Linked DNA regions of Coturnix japonica. The protein of the gene in region 3 interacts with the protein of the main gene of each other region in a biochemical or structural test. Links are inferred from orthologs where the notes say so. Each region holds a gene or a part of one and is shown on either strand. Other genes may lie near its edges.

The links.
Region 1: of the proteins of SIRT1 (region 3) and SREBF1, one has a biochemical effect on the other in vitro, tested with the Homo sapiens proteins (2 studies listed by BioGRID, with this or other methods). The link is inferred for Coturnix japonica from reciprocal best matches to the Homo sapiens genes SIRT1 and SREBF1.
Region 2: the proteins of SIRT1 (region 3) and RPS19BP1 form a complex in vitro, tested with the Homo sapiens proteins (2 studies listed by BioGRID and IntAct). The link is inferred for Coturnix japonica from reciprocal best matches to the Homo sapiens genes SIRT1 and RPS19BP1.

Annotation. Positions count from the first base shown.
Region 1 is NC_029529.1:4,938,611-4,943,547, reverse strand, and holds the start of SREBF1 (sterol regulatory element-binding protein 1), read left to right. Parts: upstream 1-1,512; 5' UTR 1,513-1,655; coding exon 1,656-1,755; intron 1,756-3,781; exon of another isoform or gene 3,782-3,824; coding exon of another isoform or gene 3,825-3,873; intron 3,874-4,491; coding exon 4,492-4,875; intron 4,876-4,937.
Region 2 is NC_029516.1:46,162,672-46,167,825, reverse strand, and holds RPS19BP1 (active regulator of SIRT1), read right to left. Parts: upstream 3,258-5,154; 5' UTR 3,195-3,257; coding exon 3,146-3,194; intron 3,063-3,145; coding exon 2,922-3,062; intron 2,791-2,921; coding exon 2,630-2,790; intron 1,704-2,629; coding exon 1,569-1,703; 3' UTR 973-1,568; downstream 1-972. UniProt on the Homo sapiens protein: Part of the small subunit (SSU) processome, first precursor of the small eukaryotic ribosomal subunit.
Region 3 is NC_029521.1:8,456,853-8,461,221, reverse strand, and holds part of SIRT1 (NAD-dependent protein deacetylase sirtuin-1), read right to left. Parts: intron 3,262-4,369; coding exon 3,114-3,261; intron 787-3,113; coding exon 707-786; intron 1-706. UniProt on the Homo sapiens protein: NAD-dependent protein deacetylase that links transcriptional regulation directly to intracellular energetics and participates in the coordination of several separated cellular functions such as cell cycle, response to DNA damage, metabolism, apoptosis and autophagy.

The DNA.
Region 1 (4,937 bases), on a different chromosome or scaffold from region 3:
CCCCATTCCATCCCTATCCCTATCCCCATCCCGTCCCCATCCCTATCCCTATCCCTATCCCTATCCCTATCCCTATCCCCGTCCCCATCCCTATCCCTATCCCTATCCCTATCCCTATCCCCATCCCTATCCCTATCCCTATCCCTATCCCCATCCCCATCCCTATCCCTATCCCCATCCCTATCCCCATCCCTATCCCTATCCCTATCCCCATCCCCATCCCTATCCCTATCCCTATCCCCATCCCTATCCCTATCCCCATCCCCATCCCCATCCCCATCCCTATCCCCATCCCTATCCCTATCCCCATCCCCATCCCCATCCCTATCCCCATCCCTATCCCTATCCTCCTATCCACAATCCCATATCCATCCCATCCTATCCCTATCCCCATCCCCATCCATCCCATCCCCATCCCGTCCCTCCCCGCTCTGTGATCCCTCCCGTCTCTTCCCGGGGCGGTTCCTCCCCTCTCAGCCCGTCTCTCTGATCGGCCCCACGTGGATCCCCGCCGGGCCGCCGTGATGTCACGCATCCCCGCTCCGTGATGCCGGATCACCCCACTCCTCCCTTCGCTCCCATTGGCCGCTCCGCTCTGGTTCTACGGGCGGGGTTTTTCCCATCACCGTCATCCCGGGTTGTCCCGCCCCGCGCGGCCCCGCTCGCTCCTTCCCTCGGGGGCTGCGGTTCGTGGTGCGGGGCAGCGCGTGGTGCTGAGCCCGGCTGGGTACACGGGGGGCACGGAACGGGAAAGCAGCGCCGTGTCGGTGCCGTCTATTCCCCCTCCCGCGTTGTGTGATGCGGGTCGTTGCCCGGCCCCACTCAGCGATGCCCACTGGGGGTCCGTGCCCTCACCCAACACACACACGTGGGGTCCCACAGACCGTCGCTGCCCTGCGGGAAAAGGGAACGGAGCTCGGCTTCTCCCCAGCGGTCCGATATGGTCCGATATTCCTGTATTCGCAGCCGCCCGGAGCCGCCCCATGGCGCGTTGTGGGCTCCCAGGGTTGGGATATGGGGCGTCTTCAGCTGCGGGTGGGGATGTTGGAGCAGCGCTGTCCTGTATCGCAGCGGTGCCCCGCGGTTCCCTACAACACACGGGGCTGCACAGGGGGCGGGGGGGGAGGGAGCGGTGCAGGAGACCCCCAGCTCCATCTGCCCCACGAGCAGCCTCGGTTGGGTGGGCCAACTGTCAGGGCTTTGTTTCCCCGGATGGTTCCCGGGGCTGAAACAAAAGGTGGGTGAGGATGAACCCAGAAAGGGCCCTAAAACTTCATCACCCTCAAACCGCAGCGCCCTAAAAATACAACACCCTCAAACCTCATTGACCCCAACCTGCAGCTCCCCGACCCCGCAGCTCCGTAACACTCCGGAGGGTCTCAGCACCCCGCACCCACCCCGCAGCGCTGCCTTCCCCCGCTCCCGTCCGTGCGCGCTCCCGCAGCGGGTCCCGGTGTTACCGGGGGGGGGCGGGGACCCCGGGGGGGGGGGCGGGACGAGGGGCGGCCGCTCTCAGGGCCCCCCCCCCCCCGGCAGCAGGTTGGGGCACGGTGCGGCCGCGCGTCCCCGTCCCTCCGCCGGATTATGCGGCGACCGACCCCGCTGGGGCGGCCTCCCCGGTCCTAAAGGCTCCGCCGCCCGTAAGAGCCGCCGCGATGAGCGCGCTCAGCTTCGACGATGCCGCCCTGGAGGGGTTGGCCCTGGAGCTCCGCGCGGCGAGTGACATCGACACGGCGCTGCTCAGCGACATCGACGGTGCGGACGGGACCGGGACCGGGATCGGGCCGGGGAGGGAAGAGGCGGCGGGGCCGGGGCGGCGGGTTCGGTGCTGCTCGGGGAAATGGTTCGTGCTCGCGGGGTGTCGGCTCGGTGCGGTACCGGCGCTCGGTGCGGGGCAGCGGGGCCGGGCGATGTTACGGACCGTCCGTGCGCGGTCGGTGCGATGTACCGGGCGGCGGGGCACGGTCGGACGGAGCGAACCCGGTGCAGAACCGGTCCGGTTGGGGCGGGGACCGCGCTCGGTAAAACCGTGTGTCATTCGGGGGCAGCTCAGCGCTCGGCGTGGTGCGGGGGGTGACGGGCCGCTGGGGGCTGTAATATGGGTGGGGGTCGCACGGCGGGTTCGGTCCCGGGACGGTTCCCCTCCCCCATCGCTCAGCCTTGTGTCGCCGCCAGCCCCGCCCCGCCGTGACGTCATCGCCGGGGTTACTCTCGGTCGTTCCTCCTGGCTTCCCCCGCCGTCGGGTGGGGGTGGGGCGGCTCCGCGGGGCATCCCCGGCTCCGGTCCACAACTGACCCGCAGCTCACGGACAACGTGGGGCTCCCGGGGCCGCTCGGAGCTGGAGCTGCTTCCTGGGGGCTCTGCGGGATGGGGACGGTGCCAATTGGACACAACCGTGCCACCAACTGGGACCCTCTCGTTGGTACCAGTGGGACCGGACCCCATCGTGCCACCAAAGGGGGCTCATTTACCGAAACCAATGGGACACAGTGATGTCTCCAAAGCAGACCCGATCCCCAGTGCTAATAGGACCCAGTCATGCCACCAATGGGGACCCGATCCCCAGTGCCAGTGGGACCCAGTCATAGCACCGAGGGGGACCCGCTCCCTGGTGCCAATGAGACGCTCTTTCAGGTGCCAGTTGGACCCATCCAGCAGGACCCCCCTCCGCAGCTCGCAGCCCAGCCCAGCAGGCAGCAGCCAACCTGCACCAGGCAGCACGTGGTGCCGCTCCGCCCGGGCTCGGTGCGCGTCGGGGCCCCGAGGCTCCCAGCACAGACCGGCAGAGCCGGTGGAGCACGGAGCGGGGCGGGGACGGGGCGGCAGAGCCCCCGAGCGTCCCGTGGGGCTGACGGGCCCTTCGTGGGGTCGGTGCTGGGATCCCCTTCTCCGCTGACAGCCGAGGCTGGAGCTGAACCCAGTCGCCCCACGGGGTGACCTTTAACTCGTTGTCACGCTGGAGGGGAAGCGGCGTGTCCTGATGCACCCGGTGCACGGCAGGACTTTGCCTGCGAGGCTGGCGTCCCCTCTGCCCTCCTTGGACACAAACCAGGGCTGAGACCACGGCGGCCTCTGTTTGCCCATGAGCTGCAGGGAGCAGAGGGATGGGCAGGTGGGGGGCGGATGTCCCTATTGGGGGTGTTTCCTGACACCTTGTACTCCGTATGGAGACAGGCTGGGTGTGCTGCTGCTATTTACAGGGAGAGCTTTTGCTGACGGGCACTTATACGTACCCTTCCACACTGAGCGTGATCCCAAGGGCTCTGTGTGTCCCCATCCCCATGTGTTTATACTGCAGGGTGTAAGGGGCCCCGTGGGGCAATGCATGGGGTGAGACCATCCGTGTTCAGCAGTGCCATGACCCACCGTGGATTTACCACTGTCTCCATGTCCCTGTGCCCTTGTTGATGACATGGTTGGGTCCCACTGAAAATCTCATCTTGGAAAAGCTCCCCATTGATGTAGGCGTCCCAGGGCTGGGGGTGCTCCATGGGATACAAACACCCGCTGAGGCTGGGGGTATCCCGGGCTGAGGATGCACGGAGGGACGCTGGTGTCACTGTGGGATGTGGGGACACGCAGTGAAGGAGTTAATGCTGCCTGACCTGGAGTAACCCTCTGCTGGGTGCCCGCGAGTGACCCGCTGCGCTGCGCTCACCTTGGGGCTGCCTGGGGGCGGCCGGCGGGTGCTCGGGCAGCGATTGGCGGAGTCACATCACCCCACGGCCGGCTCCGCTCCAGGGCTGGCGCGGGCGGCAGCGGGGAGGGAACGTGGGGAGGAGGCGAGGAAATGGTTTGAAAATAGCCCGCTGCGTTCAGCGCAATGCTCAGCCGCCAACACCGGGATCTCACCCTGCCCGCCCTGCTGGGAGGTATCCCCTGCTGCTCCTCGTGCTCTGCCGGGTGTATGGGGCGCCCCTTGGGGTCTGGGGGCACTCGTGGGTCACTTTGGCATCTCTGGGTACCGCGCTGTGTTTGGATGCTGCCCAAATGAAGGTCGCTCTATGGGGGCTTCTCAGAGCAGCCCGATGTGTTGGGGTGTGTCAGTGGGGATGTCCCCAGTGCCCCGGGGTGCTGGGATGCAGGGCAGACCCCCAGGCTTAATGCTGGTTAACTCTTCATGCCCTACTGCCCGCCTGGGGGTGAGTGGGGCAGCACATGGTGCAGGGGTTGGAGGGGTTTGATGCACCATGGATGTGCCACCTCCCCGTCCCAGCCCCAGCTCCTCAGCCCTCAATACAGGGGCTTTTTGGGACTGTCAAGGTTTTGGTGTCTAGTTTGTAATGAATGAGCTGCCCCATTTTGTCCCCCTGGAGCAGGCTGAGATCAGCCCCGCTGCCCCTGAGGATCAGGGCATGGTGCTCCTCTGGGCTCCCACATCTCAGGGCAGGGTCAAGCAGTGTGGGGCTGGAGCCCCCCATGGCTTTGAGGCTCCCTGTGAGGTTTGGGGCTGCTACTGACCAGTTTGGGGGGGGGCTGTTATTTTTCAGACATGCTGCAGCTGATCAACACACCGGACAATGACTTTTCGGGGCTGTTTGATGCGCCGTTCACGACCCCTGACTGCACCGTGTCCTCGGGGCTCCCCCCAGCCCCCACCAGCAACGTATTCCCGGGGCCCAGCAAGCCACCCCCCACCAGCAATGTATTCCCACCCCCCCCCGTGCTGTCAACCTTCACCTCACAGTCCCCCACCCCACTCCTGCCAGCCCCTGGCCCCCCAGCAGCACCGGGGGTGAAGGAGGAACCTGCGGCCATGCCCAGCAGCCAGCCCCAGCCTGGCGTGATGCTGGCCCCCAGCTTCGTCCCCACATCCCCTGGGCAGTTCAGCCCCCAGCCCATGGTGGGCTTCCAGAACCAACACAGCTTCCCTGGTGAGGATTTGGGGTGGATTGAGAGTGTATGAGTTGTGGGTTGGGGGGTTGGTTTGAGGGTC
Region 2 (5,154 bases), on a different chromosome or scaffold from region 3:
TGTACCTTTCTGCAGCAACAAAGGATGTTTTTGTTTTCCTCAAGGTCCCCTACACATTTCTCCATTTTAGGAGAAGGGACAAACTGAAAAAAAGGGAAACTGGTCCTTGGAATGTTTTATTTACCACTTTTGGCTGCAAACTGTTGAACTGATCTTATTACAAGAAATTCCCTCCCACATGCTGTTAAGCACAGTTTCCAGAACACATACTTTAGTATGTTCACTATTTCCCCTGTTTGGACAAAGTATATCTATGTGACCTTCCCTTTTATGCAGACACAACGGAAAGAACAAAACACAGGTGGAACAGACTTAAGGATGCAGGGGGTGGGATACCAAATTCCTTCCACTGCTAACATCTGAACCAAGGAGTTAGTTCTAACCAAGGGTTGGCTCTTGAATCTCTTTTATTAGAACTTGTCTCTTCTTTTTCTCCTCTCCAAAGGGAGAACACTTCCCATCATCTTAAGAAAAGGGTGGGAAAGGGCAGTAACAAGAGCTCCCAAAAAGCACATTCACAGTAGTTTAGCAAGGAAGATAATCTGAAACAACACTCCCACCTGCTGGGCCGTCTATTTATTGCAGCAGGGAATTTAGCACTATGAAAAAAAAAAACCAAAAACAACCAAAAGCAAACACCCATCCCTTCCGTCCAGCACCACAGCCTCTAGTTCAGATGATTTGATCTTCATGCTGAAAGCTGACTTCTGGGTCACAAGCATTCCTGCCTACAGGAGCTGGCAGCATCCAGCAGCAGCACCCTCCTAGTTGGAACCTCAGATAAAAGCTTGGGCTGAAGCATGAGAAAGTTTTCTCCATATAAGACCTCTTTCTTAGAGGGGTGACTGAGCAGGCAGAAGAGGAGTCACCTCAGTTCCTACCTGCACTCTAAAAGCCTGAGCATGCAGGAGAGAAGACACATGTGACAACAGGAATCAGAGGGAAGACATTCACACAACTGAGTCATCCTAGTGACAGGAATGCTTGGATCAGAACAATGATCTGGTTTATGTTCTTCAATCACAGCCACTCATAACAATCGCTACCGCAAAGGCAAAGATAGGCAGCACCTGTAACAACAATTATTTAATCATACAACACATACAAAATATTTACAATACCAGAAAAACCTGACAGATACTGTAATAATGACAGAAACTGCTGGAGTACTTGGATTTCACAGTCTTTTGAAGCATCCTTCCCTTTTAATGATTTGCTTTTGCTGTCCAAAATGTATCATCATTGAGTTGGAGACCAATAGCAGATGCCTTACTGAAGAATAAGATTTGGTTTTGGATTAGTCCACCTTTCTAAGTCAAGAACACAAGACATGCTGGCTGGAGGGAGGTGATCTTAAAACATACTGCAAAAAACAAAGAACCTCCATGGCTCCAGCAGTGAGTTCCGGACAGGAGCAGTTACTCTGCAGGTCTGATGCTAGTATATTTGCTGACAAAGTGATGTATCTCCTACATCCACTCTCAAACATGCTGATTAAGTGTCCGGTCCTGTATTCTGAGCACTCAGCTGCAAACGGACTGGAGCTGCAAGAGTCCCTTTCATGCTGTTTATGGGATTCCAAAGTATTCTCTTTCAAATTTACGGAAGTCTTCCTCAGTAAAGACAGTGCCCTCAGGCTTCTTCTTTTCCTTCTTCTCTGCAGGCTGATCTTTTGACTTCCTGCCTCTGTTCTGTGCAAGAACCTTCGTGAAAAAACAAAAATAACATTCATTGTCACCCAGACCAAATCACAAAACAGTAATTTTCAAGCTCACCTACCACACCTTTATTATTCTGCTACATTCATGCTACATTCTGGAATGCCACCAGAGAAGTGTGAGATGCAAACATTATCTTAGCCAAAGCAGGTCACTGGGACAGCAGCAAGCACCCATGTAGCATTCAGAGTCAAACATGGAAGCTACTTTCAGATAACTCTTATTGAAAATGCAATATTGATTTTAACTTAAACTTTCTTTGAAACTGTAACATTCTTTAGTCCATAAGATGACTAGAAAATCCAAGAAATTGGTAGTATTCCCCTGGTGTTCTTTAATATGTCATTCCTGCCATTTACAACCTCAAACCTGAAAAACACTGGCCTAAATCACTTAGTTTCTTTAAGTTAAAAGTGTTGTCATAAAAACAGCCTAAGAATCTAGTGGTGTTATCTACCTTCAAATCCTGGCTCAGAATTACTATTTGGGAAAGACTATTGGTTAAATTTTCAGGTTATGAGAAACATAATTTAAGAAGCTGTGAAATTCCTACCATGTGAGCCAGCAGCATGTTTGGATCCCTGCTAAAACAGCCTCTAGCTACAGAAGAGGACAGTTAGAAGAGAACAGAAGGGAAGCCTGAACAAGGGCTTCTTTGCTATGAAATACCTTTGGTAACCAAGAGAAGTCGACAATGACCAGATTTTAACTAGTATCTGAGAACACTAAGAAATAAGCTATCAACAAAAATTTAAAGCTTAGTAAGGTGTTTTGTTTGAGCACAAATAAATACTTCAAGGCAACTACCAGAAAGAAAGTCAACTCTACTGCACAGGGCCTAAGCTGGAAGATGTGAAGATAATTCCCATTCATTTATGCTCCTCAGAAGAAGAAAGAAGTGTCACCTTTACCTGTTTAGTGACAGCTTTGTCAGCAACACATCGTCCGCTTGTCATGTACTGCAGATTTGCTTTGAGGTGATTTATAGCTTTCTTCTTGTGATACTCCTCTAGGTCAGAGCACAGGGAGACAAAACACATCACCTGCTTGCCCAGGCAGCACCCGAGGGCTGCTACAAGGAGGATGGAGAGGGATAAGCACAAGTGATCATGACAGGGGCTGCAGGACACCATGCAGGGACCCGGCCTGAGAGTGCAGAGCGCAATGGAGCTGATCTCTACCAGAACTAAAGTCAGAACTCACCTATCGCCGACTTCACCACTCTGCCCTTGATCGTGGCCTTGTTCTTCCCAGGCCCCACCGTTACCTTCCTCCGCCGGGCAGCTCCTGCCGGCCTGGTGCCATCACGCCCCTGCTGGAGTCCCCGCGGGGCCTTTCCCCGGCCTGAAAGATGAGAGGAGGGAGGTTACCAGGGCCACACACTGCGATAACCCCCTCCTGTCCCGCCTCCGTCCCCTCCAGCCCACCCGGTGCCTCCAGCAGCTCCAGGCCCCGCCGTATCAACGACGCAGACATGGCCACACACACCCCCCGCCTTTCATCCACTTCCGGCTCCCCACCGCACTTCCGCCCTCTCCTGAGACCATTTCCGCCCTCTCCTGACACCACTTCCGCCCTTTGAACGACTCTACTTCCGTCTTTAGGCGGTTTAGGCGGGAAGGGCGGAGCGCGGAGCCATATTGGGGTTCTGTGGTTTGTGGAGGCTGCCTCAGGTCAGCCCTGAGCTGATTTGATGTACAAACCCAGCGCTGCTGCCTCGTTTTCCTCTCTCCTGCGTGTGGTGCAGCCTCACAGACCTTCTGCATTGGGAATGGGCTCTGTAGGGCCCTGCTGTTGTGGTGGAAGGCCCCCCAAAACAGGTTTAACTTTGTGCCCGGCTCCTGAGGCACAGTTTTGCTCCACCATTAATTGCATCTATTATTCAGTATTACTTTAGCGTATTTATTTAAAGCTTTCCTCCCCCGTTTTTTGCCTCTCTAGAGTCTTGCTGCTAATGTCTGCTAAATTTATCTATCATCTGAATAAAGCTTATTCAGTTATAGCCAACACTGGCAGTAACAGGCTGGTGCTGGAGGAGAAGGAGAGAGGTTTATTCTCCCTCAGACAGTGTCCCATGGGGAGAGAGCGGTACAAACAGCACTGGTTGTTTCTCATGGCAATGATCTCTAGTGGTGGCTGATGGCAGTTAAACAGCAGTTCATTAACAGGCATCTATTCTCTGCAGGTTGTTCTCCAGCCCCTGCAGATGTCACCTCAGTGCCAATCTTTTTATTCTTAGTTCTCTTTGGAATCTCTTGTTGAATCGTTCCTGGCATCCTGTGTCAGTATTTGTCATTGTGATTGTGCAGATGCGTCTTTCTGGACCAGACTGTCTTGGTGCTCATTCTTGGGAAATATTAACCATTTATTTCCTGTTCAGCAGGTCTCTTCTCACTTGTGATTTTTCCTCTTAAATCCAAACCACATTTTTGGATTAATTTGGGTGGGCAATGGCCGGGTGCATAGCCTGATGTGGCTCTGGGCAGCCTGGTCTGCTGGTTGGTGACCCTGCACATAACAGGGGAGTTGAAACTGGATGATCATTGTGGTCCTTTTCAACTCAGGCCATTCTATGATAATTCTATGATTTCATGAATATTTCTCCATTTTCTTGTCTACTACTAAGCTAGCAAAGACTGAGACTGCTCAGCTCCTTGTTCTGTGCTGGGTTTGTCCCTGCATTCATGTAAGTTAGCATATTTGGGAGGAGAGCTGTCAGTGTTATGACTGTGAGGAAAGCATTCCTGATTATACCTTAGCTGTCAAACATTCTCCGTTAGCCCCTAAAATAGAATTACAGGTTCTCTGTAAGCTGTTCACAGACATATATCACACAGAATAGCTTTTTCTACTAGTTAAAAGTGGCATTTACATCGATTAACTTTATCAGGCTCACCTGACACATCATCACACGTGTTTAGTGTCAAAGCAATGTAACCTTATAAATGTCTTATGAGGCCTCCTAATGCAAAAATATAATTACCTGCACTGCTAAACATGTTTAGATTTAACAAATTAATGTGTTACAATCTGCACTGATTTATTGTCTCATTGGAAAATATATGCCCTTTTCTAACTCAAAAATAAGCCTCTGCAAATAGTATTGTGTTTCTGTTTCTGTTGTACCAATTAATAATGCTGTCAATTATTTGGCCTCTGAGAAATTCTGAGTCCCTTCTTGTTAAATATCTTCAGTAGCAAGAAACTTTAATACAGGCAATGCCTCTTTTGACCAGCAAGGTTGAGTGCAAACCTGCTATGATTTTAATCCACAATTACCTGCAGGATAAAATTTAACGAGCGCATGGGGTCATTTTGCTGAAAAGGGAAGGCAAGATATTTTCTTCAAGTGCATTCACAGTCTCCTGCGTTGGAGTCTGGTCAAGCTCTTGGAGTCTGGTCAAGCTCACTGAGAAGTTAAATAGGCACACGCTTG
Region 3 (4,369 bases):
CGAAGAAAAGTGCCTTTCCATTTATATAGACAATCTTTTTATCAGAGAACTGTCTCTGTCGAAAGACAGAGAAGAAAAGCAAAGAGGGTCTGACCAAGGCAAAGCTTATTCTACTCTGCTGGAGCAGAACTAACTCTGGGCTTGATCATGAAGTACTTTGCACCCAGATGTGAGGCATTCAGAACATAAAATAGTTTGGCAGTTCTTAAAAGTGCCAGTCAGACATCTTGCTTTGTCCTTGCTCAGACGCTGCTTTATGTTAGCATTTTCTCCATGCATCATCTACAATTTCAACATGTTGAATGCAGGTAAATGCTTTAAGAGCGACTGACGTTATAAATAGCTAGAAATGCATTCTCAGTGTGCCTGAGAGCTCAGATTACCCTAAGGCAGGTATAAATCCAACTTTCTACTTACCGCATTAACTTCTGCTCTTCTCAGAACTGCCTTTAGAAATAACCTATAACAGTTTTGGTTCTACTTCTTCCCCATTACCTAATTGCTACAGTGTAATAACTGAGTATATTTTTTAAATACAAGAGCAAATGCTAAAATATAGATAGGTACATAGGAAACAAGGAAAGCTCTTTTTTTTTTTCTTTTTTCCCTCTTATACGTTTTAAAAGTGCAGATCTTTTAAGCAATGCTTCACTTTGTTTTCAAGCTGATTATCAGAGAGCTGCAGTGATTTAAAGTGAGTTTTTACCTGATTGAAAATATCTCCTCGAACAACTTCACAATCAACTTTGTATTTACAGATCAGGCAGGAAGCTGTTGCAAATGAACCTTGGGGGAAAAAATATGGTAGAAGTGAGGACTTTCAGATTTGGTCTTTTTGCCAAAGATGTTACGACACAAAGGCTGTTAAATTGCAGTGCTAACAAGAAACAGTTAAAGTCCTTAAAAACTATTTTTAAATGAAGAGGAGATGCCTGTAGTACTAAAGGTAGTTGTAGATGTTAGCAAGGAGAAAGTGTTTTAGGAGGAGGATTTACTGAATATATGAAAGCACAAAATATGCTGGATGGCTCCCCTACTTTCCCTTTCCATCTTTATACGAGTAATAGAAGTGGTGACAGCCCTGCCTCATCAGAGCAGGACATGAACCCACACCAATCTCAGCTGCCTTTCAAAGAGTAAAGTAACTGTGAAAACGCATTTGCTATGACTTCATTATAAGCAACTAAGTAACAGCACTGTTCCTCTCAGAAACTGTCAACAGTTACAGCTATGTTGTTCCCATTAGAATAGTGCTCCAAACTTAGTATACAGCTTGGCTACCATGTTCACTGTTTGGCAAGGTTGTGTAAATTTGCTCTCTGGTGCTCTTGCAGCCCTGTCTGAAAGCAAACCTCGCCTGCTGGCTAACACATGTTAACAATGGGAAACTGTGGCAAACCAGAGTGGCTTTTTGGTGCATACATTTACCCATCGAGGCCTTGTGCCTGTGCAAGGAGTACTGCTAAAAGTTGACAGGACATTGAAGAATGAAGTGAGGAATTGTCAGATTTGTCTTAACAATGAAACAAGGCTTAAAAAAATAATTTGGGGATGTCTGTGGAACGTGTCAAGCTCTCACAGATAGACAACAGATACTGAAGCACAAACCTTTAAATAACTACCGTCAGTTTCTCTTTAACCACTGCCAGCGTTAAGCAGTGTAACTGCAGTGTGGATAGCGTAATGGGCTCAAAATAACCTTTGCTAACTTCCAAAAGCCTCAGGATCCAATAATAGAATATTTTTTATTTGAAAATCAACTGATAAGATATATGGCGATGCTGGCCTGAAATCTAATTACTGTATCATGCAACTGAAAAAAGAAACAACAAAACCAACATTTGTGTGTGTCCGCAATGTGCAAAAACACAGCTGAGTAAGAATTTTGTGATAAATACCTAATTAGGAATGGCATCCAAAAGAAAATGCATCAGATGCTGAATACGTATGAAAACCAGAGTTAGGTTTGGGTTATTCTGTGGGGTGGATTCTATTCTGTTCTCTTTGATCAGGGGGGTTGGAACTACATGATCCTTGAGGTCCCTTCCAACCCGGGTAATTCTGTGATTCTGTGATTACTATGACAGAGCATTGCATTTACTCTCTCTGAATGAAGAAACTTGACAAATCCACTGACTCTTAAGTCTGTAGATGAAAAAGATGAGTCTGATCCCCAGAGAAGCAGAACTCCACAAGAAACAGTTGTAATTAATGGGCAGATTGCCACCTCTGGTACCAGGCTGGCATTGCTGCACTGCTAACAGCTGAGACAAAGAAGAACAGGGTATCACTGCATCCAGAGACCACTTGAGATACCGTGGTAACAGTACCAGCTTCAACAGTGGGTATGTTACAGGAAAAAGGAACTACAGCTTCCCTAGCTTGATGTTAGGATTGTTGGAAAGGCCATCGGGTGATAATTCTTTCCTGATATTTGATCTTGCCCATTGCTAGGACAGCAGCCCTGTGTTCTTAATGGGAGACCAAGGGTTATTGCTCTTAACTCAGAGGTTAACTTCTTCAGTTCCAGTTCTACTGCTGACACTTTAAATACCTGAACTAACTCCAAAAAGGGGAAAAAAAGAAAGGCAACATTTTCAAGTTGTAAAGTACAGTCATGTAAGCAGCAGAGGCTCATGAAATACACGTGCCTTTGGCCAAGCTTATCCTTGTCTGGTCCTTCATCTTCCCACTGACTTGGGGACACAGCTTTCTATTCATTCTCCTGTTGAATTTGAGAAGCGTGGTGGAACATACCAAGAAACACTTTTAACAGGACTTCACTAAAACTTTAAGTTCAAATTAAAGAAAGGTTACAGCATTTCATGAAACAAACCAAGATATGAAAGTGTTGGCTACAAATATCAAATTGGGTCTTACTGGATGCATCTGAAGATGTTTCTCAGTCTCTCTCTCTCTGCAATGTTTTCTTCAGTTAGTGGTAATAATTTCACCTAATATACTAACCACTACTTTAAAAGCAGAGTATTTGTTTAGGAGAAATACCAGTTGAAGGAAAATATCAACACCACTAGCAGTTACCTTGTCACATAGAGCAGTAAATATCATTCCTACGCATAAAAAACAAGAAAAGGGAATCTGAAATTACTGACCATGACATTGAATTATCCTTTGGATTCCTGCAACCTGTTCCAATGTGTCTATGTTCTGAGTATAGTTACGAAGCAATTTTCCTTCTTTATCCATCAAAGCTATGAACTTGTGGCAGAGAGATGGCTGGAATTGGCCTGGATAGATTTCCTATGGAGTTCAAAAGTACATTAGAAAGCTTATATGAATACACAGCATATTTATTCCAAAGGCAGCGATTATGTGCTCATTTTCTGTAATCATCCCCTTTGCATTTTGCCCTTTCTTCTCAGATCCAACTCTTCTTTTACCAGCTGAACTTCTCATCATACCAGGATGAACTGCTCCTTATAGCAGCTGGTACTTTGCTCTTCAGGCAGCACAAGAACAAGGTCTATGTCTTCTCTAGTTTTGTGAACTATAAAACATGAACTGTTTTCTTCCCCTTCTTCCTCAGTATTTTTATTAGAGACATGATTCTACTGCAGTCAGACAAAAAAAAATAATCGTGAGGAACTCTGATTCTGGTCTTTTGGTTAAAGATGAACAGTTTTTACTCATCAGCTGCACTGGCAGCCATTTCTGGACCCTCATTCACTAGCAAACAGAACTACAAATTGGCCATAAAGCCAAAAGCAGGTGGCACTGAGACCAGCTTTACCGATTTATTCAGTTACAACAGTCAGCAATGCAAAACCATGTGGCTTAGAAGAGCAATTCCACTGGCCCAGACAGATGCTCAGCCTTTCTGCTATATCAGGGAAGAGGAGGTTGGCATTTCTAAGGTGTATACAGGAAGAAATGTGCAAAATCTATGGAGTGATTTGATGTCTCCTCTGTGAATAAACAAGCTTGCCAGAAGAAAAAACACATGTAGGCACTCAGCTGAAAGCTTCGCACAAAGAACCACTGCCTAGAGCTGACCAGCCAGGCAGTACCTCTGGCTGCTGTGTGACAAGGAGGCTGGAAGCAGGAGCACTCTATTGCTTAGGAGCACCTCTAAAGAAGAGCTTGAATTCCAGGCCCTCTGCTCTCCTGTCACTCTTTTGGCACTGAACAGCAACTGGGCTGTACACACCTGGGGAACTCGGGCCTTTGTACAGAAAGTAAGCAAGAAGGAGGGGATTTGTTTTTCACCCAAATATTTCAAGTTACTCTTTCTGAAGCTATATAGATCTTTGGATTTAAACTGCAGCAGTCATCAGCAATTGCTCACAGCAGTGTTATGGTCCCGAGAGCTTTTCTATCTTAGTCTGAAAAAGCAAGACGTGCTCTGCCA